Linked DNA regions of Yarrowia lipolytica. The protein of the gene in region 3 interacts with the protein of the main gene of each other region in a pairwise test. Links are inferred from orthologs where the notes say so. Each region holds a gene or a part of one and is shown on either strand. Other genes may lie near its edges.

Evidence for each region. The genes of interacting proteins can lie anywhere in the genome.
Region 1: the proteins of YALI1_E25761g (region 3) and YALI1_B07162g interact in binary tests that used the Saccharomyces cerevisiae proteins (3 or more experiments, as listed by UniProt). The link is inferred for Yarrowia lipolytica from reciprocal best matches to the Saccharomyces cerevisiae genes AKR1 and KEX1.
Region 2: the proteins of YALI1_E25761g (region 3) and YALI1_B27280g interact in binary tests that used the Saccharomyces cerevisiae proteins (3 or more experiments, as listed by UniProt). The link is inferred for Yarrowia lipolytica from reciprocal best matches to the Saccharomyces cerevisiae genes AKR1 and RBD2.

The regions. Positions count from the first base shown.
Region 1 is NC_090771.1:714,280-718,562, forward strand, and holds YALI1_B07162g (uncharacterized protein), read left to right. Parts: upstream 1-1,928; coding exon 1,929-3,773; downstream 3,774-4,283.
Region 2 is NC_090771.1:2,726,029-2,729,435, reverse strand, and holds YALI1_B27280g (uncharacterized protein), read right to left. Parts: upstream 1,453-3,407; coding exon 1,284-1,452; intron 1,236-1,283; coding exon 511-1,235; downstream 1-510. Other genes in the region: YALI1_B27293g (uncharacterized protein), read right to left, coding at 1-72; YALI1_B27254g (uncharacterized protein), read right to left, coding at 2,591-3,407. UniProt on the Saccharomyces cerevisiae protein: Probable rhomboid-type serine protease that catalyzes intramembrane proteolysis.
Region 3 is NC_090774.1:2,574,287-2,578,767, forward strand, and holds YALI1_E25761g (uncharacterized protein), read left to right. Parts: upstream 1-1,870; coding exon 1,871-3,979; downstream 3,980-4,481. Other genes in the region: YALI1_E25729g (uncharacterized protein), read left to right, coding at 1-730; YALI1_E25812g (uncharacterized protein), read right to left, coding at 4,371-4,481. UniProt on the Saccharomyces cerevisiae protein: Palmitoyltransferase specific for casein kinase 1. Palmitoylates isoforms YCK1 and YCK2 at both C-terminal cysteine residues, which is required for their proper plasma membrane localization.

The DNA of each region.
Region 1 (4,283 bases), on a different chromosome or scaffold from region 3:
TTTTTTCGGCCGGGCTCAGTCAGCATGCCGTGATGGGAGTTACACCTTTTGTGTGGTCAAATCCCCTGCTAGGAAAAGTATAAGCAACGAGGAAGTTCGGTATGAGAGTGCACTGTGATTATGAAAAATCGTATGTTCTCTGAATTGAAATTTCTGAATTGAAATTTGTAGGGGTGGTCGGCGACTGCAGTTCGGCCCGTGTTTCAGAATCTGGTAGCTACAGTACTGTACTGTTATAAGGCACGGCCCCGTACAAGTACAGTTTATCAGTAATTCGTGTTACAGTATGTACCTTCTGTACTTGCACATGACTGAGAATAGGCGCCTAAATGTAGTTCCGTGGTGACTTCGGGTGGCTATCGACACAATAATAGCTCAGTGACTAAAGGCACAGCAAAACCTCGTGGCTAGTACGAGTGCCGTACGACTTATTCATAGAAATAATGTGCGTTTTTGTGTTGCACCCTGCCTGCTACTCCCGACAGCCTTGCTCGTCCCGCTATTGCACAAATACAGTATGTACTTGCATCAGTCATGAATTCACAACGTCATGATCAACATGTACATAGTACACACAGTACAGTAGTATGCATTTGCACTGCCCTGGAGAATGCGCACGCGACCACATTCTAAGGTTTAGTTTTATTTTGCTACCAGGTTAACGCTCGTCTACATATATATATATATATAAAATTACTTATATATACTCTATGAGTCCATACGTAATGTTCAATACAGCGTCCAATACCGGGGGTGGGGGATATTTTCGGCAGCGACAGAATATCACCTGAACAAGTTACTCAATATATTATCGACTTCAGATGGGCAAATTGTGAGTCTCACATCATTTTCAGTACCAGGTACTGGTACTTGTACAAGCTGCGCGATGACCAGTTGCTTGTTGGTGTCATAGCCGGCTGTATTGTACAAACGCCTATGCTTGTTTTTAATATATCAACAGCCTATAATGCAGGAAGTATGGCCCGCTCCAACTGAAGTTCTCTATTAAGCAACTACGAAATTAGCTACCTTGTACTTGTACAAGTACAAGTAATACTTGTCACACTTGTTGCATTATTGGGTTTATCGAACCCATTACTGCAGGGGCCTCCCGTGCTCTGTACATCTGATACTGGGACAGTATGTATGTGTATCTCTTCTGGGCTTGCAGAAAGATTCTTCAGGAACTCCTCAGTTCGCGTGCAAGGAAGTCTGTACTAAAACTGGTACTACTTGTACTGCCTTACTCGTATGGTAAGTATACACGTGTGACAATCGTACCAGTACTAATGTAATGTTTATACCGGTACGAGAGCATCTCACACTATATATTTGATTCTAATAACATCCTATTCGAGTACGAGTACATGCCGTACCTTCACTTTCGGAATCTGTGAGTTTGAGTTCATTTTAAGTAATTAACGCGAGAGATGGAAGGTGCATGGGAAGCACGCGTCGTATTCGGATAACACTCAGACACTCGCAGCACGGTCATTTAAGGGCGGGTCATTCGGGCACAATTGCTTGTGTAAATTTAAGCCTCATATTTCACACACATACAACGCTTCCAGTGGTAATTTCAAGAGCCGTACTTTTGTCCTGTTTCGGATAAAAGGTAAGGGTTAGCCAGTTGGGCGGCGTGTCATGTTAGTAATCACAAACCAAAGATGCGGATGTGACACTTGCATTGTGACTCACAAGTAGATTGATCCGTCATCGTGAAGAAACACTTTAGTTCACTTGTTTTATATTCGTCATGCATATTTGGACAGTACTGTACTATTCCTACAAGTTTATACAGTATGTACTTGTAGCTCTGGCTTGCCCGACACTCCTGAACTGCACAACGCATTGGAATAAGCTCGGTCAACTTCAATCATTCATTGCACGTCCACTTCACCAACCACTTCGAACCACAAGAAACAGCCATGAAGTTATCATGGAGTTTATTCTGTGGACTTGCTTCACTAGCCTTGTCACAATTTGATGAGGCACCACCGTCGCAGTCGGACTACTTCGTCCGCCACATTCCTGGACTAGACAGCGTGGACAATTACACGATGCATTCCGGAAACATTCTCACTGATGCAGCTCATAACGGAAACCTGTTTTTCTGGCTTGTTGAGGCTCAGTACAAGATCACAGAGCGCCCTAAAACTATCGTGTGGTTCAACGGAGGACCTGGTTGTTCATCAATGGATGGAGCCCTGTTGGAGGTGGGCCCTTTCCGCATCGTGGATGACAAGCTCAGAGTAGATCCGAACAAGGGCTCTTGGCACAAATATGCCAACGTGTTATTTGTTGACCAGCCCTATGGAACTGGTTATTCCTATTCGGACACGGATTCTTATCTGACTGGCCTCGGGCAGGTAGGGGATGAGATGGATTCATTCATGACACAGTTCCTCAAATTGTTCCCAGAAAGAGCCCATGATGATTTTTACCTAGCTGGAGAATCTTACGCTGGTCAGTACATCCCTTACATCGCAACCAAATTACAGCAAACGAGAACTGTCGATCTTAAAGGTCTACTTATTGGAAACGGATGGATGGACCCCGCGAATCAATATTACCAGTATGTGCCATACGCATTGGACTATGGAGTGATTGAAAAGACGGAAGAACATGTGAAGGATCTCAAAGAGCTTACAGACACTTGCGAGCGAGCCATTAACATCGCCAAGGACAAGAACAACGGGAGACTTCCCGTCCATATTCGAGCTTGTGAAGATATCATGAATGGCATTGTGGAACTGAGCAGAAATGAGCGGAGTGCACCAGAATCTGAAGGAATATGTGTTAACTACTACGACGTATCCAAGGAAGATAAATGGCCATCGTGTGGTATGAACTGGCCTGAGATTTTGCCATATGTCACTGATTGGCTACGACAAGACGCAACAGTGCAGGCTCTGAATGTCAACAACGATAAGCAGGAGTCGTGGCAGGAATGCAATGGAGCAGTTGGTTCCCGCATGCGACAGGGAAATGACGATGCTGCAGTTTACCTGCTACCTGACCTTTTGGAAAGCATGGAAATTCTATTTTTCAATGGTGATCGAGATCTCATCTGCAACCATTACGGAAATGAGAGAATGATTGAACAGCTGGAATGGAATGGAAAGAAGGGTTGGACCGAGGGCTTGGAGCTCGACGATTGGGTTGTCGATGGCGTTTCCAAAGGCAAGAAGCAAAGTGACAGAAATCTGACATATGTTAGGATATACAATGCTTCTCATATGGTTCCCTACGATGAACCCGAGGCTTGTCTGACAATGCTGAATGACTTCATTGGCGTCTCCAAGGCTCTGAGCGACCTATCTGGTAATAAACCTGGAAGGGGTAGTGAAAACCCCAGTGACTTGGACGATCAAAAATCTGGCGACCAAAAATCTGACGACGACAGTTCCAGTGACGATGATGACGACGCGGAACACGATAAGAAAATCGCAAGTGATGCCATGTGGAAGGCGTACTACCAGGCTGGATTTACAGCCCTGATCGTTGTCCTCATTATCCTGGGGCTCGCAGGATTCCTGTTTTGGAGAAAAAACCGAGGCCATATTTATCAGGAGGAGACATCGCTCCTCGGTTCATGTTTCGGAGGTATCTCCCGTTGGAGAAACAGTTCTGGTGGACCACTCTCCAACCAACAGGGTACTTTCGACTCCAGGCAACGACTGATGGAGCCCGGAGAATACTACGATCTTGGTGAAATTGCTGAGGAAGACGAGGATGCCGAAGAGCTTGTGATCCGAAGGCCTGAAGTGTAATAAACATAGGATGATAGAATAAAATAAAATACCGTCGTGAGCACAAATAAACCCTATCCTAGTCTCAGTATTCTATTGTAAACGTGTGTATCTGTGTTGGTGGCAGTTACATTGTGTAATTTGACTACAGCACCATGCGCTGACTTGCACCATGGAGAACTCCGTACCACTTTTTTTGAAATTATTCTAATGATTCATTACAGCTATATATATAATATATATATATATATATATATATTATATACCTCTGCCTGTAGTAAGCTGGGTTCGATAAATCATAAACGTTGCGATATGCATTTCGTTCGAGGCACTGCCATTGTTTGAGGTGATGAATTGTGTATCGTCGAAAAGAGAAAGTCACTAAACAAAAAATAAAATGTAGAAAAATGTGATTCATAGTAACAAATTGTGGAGAAGACGATAAAGGCGTGTGCATTTTTTTTTTTTACAAATAAAATAGATTAAACTCAATAGAATATGAGAAGACTGCCAGTTGTCTCACTATAGGGA
Region 2 (3,407 bases), on a different chromosome or scaffold from region 3:
CTTTTCAATGCTTTCGAGCTCGCCTCCTCGGGCGTCGAACATGACGTCGTCAATCTGGTCTTCTGTCAACATGTTAGCTGGTCCAATAATGTCCTCTGGGGAATGTGCAGGTGTAGTTGCGAGATAACAGAAAAATTTCTGACATGCATATCCCGAACTTTGATTCTGAGATGAAGGGGGCAACGATCATAGAGAGAGAGAACGATACAGAGGTAGATTGTGAAGACGAACGATTGAGTACACATAATTAATTGCATGGTTTCAAGTTTTTGTCATCGTGATAGTCCCACTGTGCGTTCCCAGCTTCATATCGATACTACAAAGTGTAGCTGGTATGTACATCATCCATCCACCCTGGGATCTTCAGTAGTCAATCTACGATACAGGGCACTATATTTCTTGTGTACATGTATTACACCAGTCGCACAAACACCCTACACCTGTAACTCACTTAAAAGGTCATGGCTCATTACATGTTTACATGTTCTACGTTCATTTTGGTATCGTCCTTTACTGGGTACCAAGAGTCTGGCCCGTTCCAGGGAAAGAAGTGGTGGGGTCAACGCTGCTGTTGCCTCGAGACCGGGTACCGGCCTCGAGATCGGCCTGGCTGGAGTTGGCCTGGAAGCCCAGGAAGTTGCCGCCAGACACGGACAGGGACCGGTTGGTGTCTGCTCGAGCGGCAGCTCGAGTGTCCAAAGCGCCCTCTTCTCGGTAGAAAGTGACGATGGACGAGGGGATCAGGTCAATGACTCTGGAGATCTTGTTCTCGATCCAGAGCACCACCTTGGACGAAGGCTCAATGAGTACGTCCAGGTAGCCCAGAGCCATCATCCAGCCAGCAATCAGTCCCAGCAGATGGCCAATGAAGGAAGAGCTGGGGATGACAATGGCAATGACAACCAGGTAGATGATGGGTAGAAGCCAAGTGGGCACCACGAGGTTGGGGGCCAGCTGGGTGGTAGGCTGCTTGGAGGACTCCCGGATGGCCCAGTATCCCATGAAGGAGAAGATCCAGGCGGAGGAGCCCAGGACAGCCTCATCGGGGAAGAAGCCGATAGACAACAGACACCAGGGAATGGCAGTGACAACAGCGAGAATGTTGAGCACGATTCCGGTTCGCACAGTTCCATTGACTCGCTCAAACTGCGACACAATGGGCTGTAGCGCCACAAGATTGAGCAGCAGATGGAACCAGGTGGCATGGACCAGGGGGTAGAATGAGATTCGGTTGACTAGTTAGCGAGGGGGAAAATAGTGGTGTGTTGTTGCGGTGTACTCACGTTCGAAATTGGTCAGGGCGGTGCTTCGCAGCTCCAGGTCGTCCTCAATCCACACATATCGCTGGGACAACAGGAAAATGACGGTCAGAAAAATGGGCAGCCCAAGCGACAGGGCCGGCGGGTGCTGTATCGCCTTTTGGAATTTCTGAAACAGCGGGAACTGGGCCATTGTGGGGTCGTAAGAAGGCAAGTTCGCAGAGCTGTTGATGGTTCAGTCTGATTAAAGTCTCTGTACTACATGTCTTGGGCGTCACGTGAGTAGGGTAAATGAAAATCCGACATCATAACAACACCTGTTTCGACAAGTGGTGGGCCCCACAGAGACCTGGAAATGCGATTTTTGCATTGAGCAATATAAAAAGATGAGACTGTTACAGAATGACACCCCAAAAGCAACCTCAGATACCCGCGGTAATGTACTCATGGAGAACTATTATTATCGCCTGGATAGTTTGGGACTCGCAAACTGTACAGGCAGCTGAAGCTTACTTATCTCCGGACACATTTAAGATGAGTGATGCGGGAATAGCTAAGACAGGGTTGCTTGAGAAGAGCATGACAAGTGAGAGGGAACAGCTGGAAGCTTTGCACGTTCTGTTTAAACACCTCTCACTACTTTTGTTCTACTCATTCACATCGCCCATCATCGTCCATTATATATAACTCACCATGTGACGTACGAGTTTAAGACATGAGGAGGATCTAAACTCAGCCCTGTTCAGCCGGCTCAGGACTGTAAGCGAGAAAAGTCAGAAGAACGAGACTACAGTTTCGTCGCCACTCTTCCAGAATAATGTACTCATACTAATACTTGTATGTTCATCAACTTCGGAAAAAACTTGGTGTGTACTTATAGTCTGATGAAAGAGATACCAGGGCTCATACCGAGGCAGCTCGTATCAATGCATACTGAAGATATAAATAAACTGGGTGCGTCGTTATCAGGGTAACAGATCAGAGTCAATCTGGCTCATCTCAAGATAACAGCAAGTCGTTGATATGAAAAGTGCACATCGCGTTTGATATATATTTGTGTTTCCCCCAGCCGTCGTCCTTTCCCTTCACCAGACACGGGATATATATATGCGCTTGTGCAACAGACATACATCAGACAGTTTGTAGCGAAGAAGGGGCAGTGACTAACAGTTCTCAGCCAGCGATTGAATAGGCCCGGACTACGGCTACAGCAGCTACATTTATCCAATCGCGTTGTCATTCGCTTCACCATTCGCTTCACACATGGCTCACACATGGCTCGCTCATGGCTCTATCACTCATCGTGCCACGTTAACTCATACTATATACATCTAAGCTTTGGGCTCAGTGGGCTGCTGGGGCACAGGAGGTAGAGAACCAATGCTGGAGACAGCCTCCGACAGGTTCTTAGGTCCCATAGCCTTCTGCTCAGCAATCATTCGCTCCTCCTCGGCCTTGAGCTTGGGGCCCTCAACGGCCAGGTACTCCAGGAACTTCTGGTACTGCTTCTGGCCCTCTCGTCGCATCACGTCGTGGGGCATCAGAGGCTTCTGCTGCTTGGGCTCGGAGACACCCAGGAACTTGGAGGCCCACTGGCCGTCCTTTCCGTGCTTGGCGTACCAGTCCTTTTCGAACTTTTCTCGGGCAATGGCCTCTCGTCGGGTGAACTCGTCAGGCAGATAGGTGCCATCAAAGGCCTTAAGAATGGGTCGAACGTCGTTCACGTTCTGAGACACCAGCCATTCCAGGAAGGGGATCAACTTGACCAGCTCCTTGTCGCCGGGAGTTCCCTTCCAGGGCTCGATGGGGATGGAGTTCTCGGGCTGCTTCATGGTGCATCCGGTATCGGGGTCGATGATGATGATCTTGCCCATATCTCGGTTCATCAGAGACAGGTCCTTGACCAGCTTACCGTCCTCGTAAGTGGTGTGCTCTCGGGTCAGAACGTGGGAGAACCAGGCGTGGTAGGGATCAAGCTTCATGATGAGCTTCTCGCAGTTGGCCATGTACTGAGAAGAGAAAAGAACAATCTCATAGTACTGGCCGAGGTAGCCCAGGAAGTAGTCAACGCCAGGTCGCTTTGCCACTCGCCAGCCATGCTCTCTGCTCCACTCCTGGTGGACAAGCAGATCGTCGAGGGCAATAACA
Region 3 (4,481 bases):
TCTGTACATACTTTGCGACACTGACGCGCAGCTGGAGCCCGCCTCCAAGGTATTCATCACCTCGGGGCTGGCCAAGCTACTGGTTTCTACCAATCCTAGTCTTGTTTTCGGCGCCAAAATCTCAGCCTCGGTGGCTGTCATTCCTCTGTTGGCCAACATAGACAACGACTTTTCGCCCCTCCCTCTTTTGGATTCATTCGAGTCTGCCCTAGCTCTAACCAATCTCGCCTCTTTTGACGATACCACCCGAAAGGTGATTATCAGCCACGGATGGGAGAAGATTGAAAACATGATGACTTCGCAGAACCCCATGGTGCAACGAAGTGCCGTGGAGCTGGTCTGCAACCTATCGCTTTCGCCCTACTGTGCCGAGAAGTATCTTGACGGAAGTAAGGCAGCCAACTCGCGTCTCAATCTACTGGTTGCTCTGACAGATCTATCTGATGAAGCGGGACGTCTAGCGGCTATGGGTGCTCTAGCCATGCTGTCCGAGTGGGATCCTGCTCCTCCCATTATGGTCAAGAACGAGAAGCTGATGGCCTGTCTGCAGCGCATTCTGGACAAAGATACAGAGGTGGAGATGATCTACCGAGCTGTGGCGTTAGTGGGCAATCTTTCGCAAAAGGAAGGAGGCAAATTGGGCTCTCTCAAACCTGGCCTATTGAGAGTCAAGTCTATGGTGAAGGACATGACAGCAGAGGTCGATGACATTCTTACTAGACTCAAGTAGAGGGCCAATTAGAACACTGTAGACACGGCTAAATAACGATTGATCAAAGAATGTGTCCGAGCTACTACAAGAAGGACAGTATGTAGGTACGCGGTAGCTGCAGTCACACGATGTCTCGAACTGTATTGGAAAGCAAAGTGGACGGACCTGGTGAACCCTCCTGTTTTTGAACCCTGCTAATGATTTGAAATGCCTCTTCTATGTGCTCTATCAAATGTCGCACACTTTTAGAGAGGCTGGTGGACGAGGGATGAGAAGGTCCCAATGACCAGAATGTACCAGTGTACACGTTACCACTTGGTTCTAAATACCTCACGCTATTACTAAATGGCTGGTATTTACTTTTGTTGTATCACGGACTGTACAACCCGTACTCCGGATGAGCTTCAGTTCATACGGTGCATACACGGCGTTGTGCTGTATGGTCTTTGCATGGAAGTGGTTGCTGTGGCGACAGGGCGCTCTCGTACACCTATCGTATGTACAGGCTTGTATTTACAGTCTGTAGCTAGCTACATGCTGTATAATTAGCAGCTCAGGTACCAACACTAATGCCCCTTCTTGCTATCTACAGTAGTGCTCGCCAGATCAATCTACCTGTACGTACAGCCCGGTCTCGGGGACAGTGATTTATTTAGACCCTTGCAACTTGCTTTTTCTCGGTGCGTAAATCCGTGATTTTAGTGAACTTTTTTTGCCAACAGAGCCAAATGAAAATTTAATCTGATTGCATGCCCCTGGCGAGCGTTACAGACGAGGAGGTGCCAAGCCGGCAATGTGGGAGGTGCAGTACAAGAGTCGAGACTACTAGTTGGAGGCTGAGTCGTGGCTGTGCATGAAGCGGCTAAGCGGAGCGGGAGCTCATGGCGCGTCACGTGACGGACTGCCGCCCTCCAACTATCTCTATTTTTTACAGCTCCATGTACCAGGCAAGACCACTCTAAGCTGCTTCACTTTGTCTTATTTTGCCTTCGTCTGCCTGGCGATTATTCTGCCCTTGCCTGTGGATTAAGGTGGTGTTGGGACATAGCGCAAATACACTGCACACACGTACAGGCTCAGACGCGTAAGTAGGCTGTACACACCTGTACACCTCACCCACACCCACCAAGTTCTTCTCAACCAGCTTGCTCACACGCCATGAGCACCGACGCAGAACTACAGACCATCTCGGGCCTCTCGGTGGCGTCCAAAAGCGCCCCGAGCACCCAGACCGAAGGAGTGACCGCCAGTGGCAAAGTGGAGTCGACTACCAACGCCGAAGAGGCCACCAGTGACGTGGAAGAGGAGGAAAACCCGCTGGTGGTGGCAGCCCGAGACGGCAACACCGCCGAGGTCAAGCGGCTATGTGAATCGGGCAGCTATTCGGTTCTGGACACCGCTGAGGATGGAGTGACTGCTCTCCATTGGGCGGCAGTCAACAACCGAATCAGCACGTGCCAGTATCTGGTAGAACAGGGAGCGGTGGTGGACGCCAAAGGAGGCCAGCTGAATGGCACGCCACTACACTGGGCTTGTCGCCGGGGACTGGTGTACATTGTACACTACCTGATCCAGAACGGAGCCGATCCGCTGAGATCAGACGTCCAAGGCTACAACGCTCTGCATCTCGCCACCCATTCGTCCAACGTCATGCTGCTGGTTTACCTGTTGCATCAGGGCCTTCCTGTCGATTGCCAGGACCCAAATGGGCGAACCGCTCTGCATTGGGCAGCCTACCAGGGAGACGCTCTGTCGGTAGACGTGCTGCTGAGATGGGGCTCGGACGTGAAGATCACAGACACCCAGGGCTTTCTGCCATTACATTGGGGTATTGTCAACGGCTCGCGAAACTCGCTTGCCCGTCTCATCGAAGAAGGATCCGACATGTACGCCAAAAGCAGTGACGGAAAAACTCCCCATGTCATGGCCGCTGAAATGAACACCACCGCACAGCTGGAGGGCGCTCTCGACGACTGTGGACGGTTCCCCGACGGTAGCCAAAAAACAAAATACTTCGACGCCCGAACCACTAATCTCTTGTGTTTCTTCACCCCCTTCATTCTCATTTTATTGGGCCTGGTGCTGTGCACCTTCTGTGGCCCCATTTTTGGGATCATTCTCACCGTGGCGACCCTGTTCGGATCTATTAAACTGCTAAAGACACTTGTGCTACCGTCTCTTTACAACGGACATGCTGCTCTACTGAAATCACCCTTCCAGGCAGGTATATTCACGGGCTCGGCCTTCTGGGTGACAGTCAAGTACCTAACTTCCGTCCTTCCGGCTACTTTTGCCTCCCACCCCATTCTCAACTTTTTCTTCGCCTCCATATTTGGTCTGGCCATGTACTGCTTCTTCAGATGCATGTCCATGGACCCCGGATATATCCCCAAGCTTTCTGGCATCACCGAGCAGAAGGAGGTCATCGAGACGCTCATTGAGCGGGGCGAGTTTGACACGCGACACTTTTGTTTCGTTACCTACGTGCGAAAGCCGCTGCGGTCAAAGTTCTGTAGACAGTCGAAACGAGTCGTGGCCCGGTTCGATCACTTTTGCCCCTGGGTGTGGAACGCCATTGGAGTCCGAAACCACCGCATGTTTGTGCTCTACGTGCTGTTTCTGCAGATTGGCATTCCTCTCTGGTTGGCTCTCAACAGCGCCTACTTTGGAGAGCTGCTTGAAATCAAGCGATGGGATCCCCTGGAGTTCTACCTTGTCATCTGGATCTCACTGCAACTCATCTGGATCACGTTCCTGTCCTTTGTGCAGATTTTCCAGATCTGCAGGTCACTCACCACCTCCGAAGCCGTCAACCTGCAAAAGTACGGCTACATGGGTGCTGATGACTACTCGTCGGTCCCTCTAGACCACTCTGCCGCCACAGCATCAGCCAAGTCCGTTATGAACGCCCATGGACACGCTGCAAAGTCGCCCTGCTTTTCCTCGGTGCTCAAACTGCTTGGAGTCGATCAGTTTGTGGCTACTGCAGGTGAAGCCATCAAGCATCGGGACAATCGGTCGTGGAAGGAGAAGAACCCCACCGACTCGGGCGCCGGAACTAACTGCTTCGACTTCTGGTTCCCTAATGGCAAGTTTGACCTCCTGGCAGTGTTTGAAGCTGGTAAGGGTGGAGGAGCCATTGGAGGCCATGCGGTGGACTACTACAAACTGTGGGACTTCCCCGATGTGTCTCCCAACCAGCAGCAGACCAACAACCGGTCCACTCGAGAAGATGGAGAGGCTCTTCTGGCCGAGTCTCAAGTTTGAGCATTGATAGATAGAGGAACGCTAACGTATATAATAAGCTTGTATAAAGAGAGAGTGTGTGAGAAACGTACTTGTACTTGTACATGTGCAAATATTTGAGTATACAGTATGACAGAAATTCATTTTTGAGTACTCCTTGTACTTCTCATAAGAGACACTCAAAACTACAATCAATGTTACTGAGTTTTGTTGAGTCTCTCTACTACAAGTAGTAAGTACAAGTATGTACTAGTATTTATTTTTTAAACTTTCAGACGCACAAGTTTTACACCACCTAAACAAGATCACCATACTTGTACTTGTATGCCAAATAGCCATAACTCATAATAAATTTACAGTACAAATACATATCCAACCCATCCGACCATTAGTAATTCCCCTTTTCTCCTCTTCAAATCACATACTCTCCCTGTTCCATCAACTGCAATGCTTTTTCCGTGGGGTTTCGAACCCGTCCTGACCGGCTCGTTGGAGACATTGAAAACGACATACTGAGAGGCTC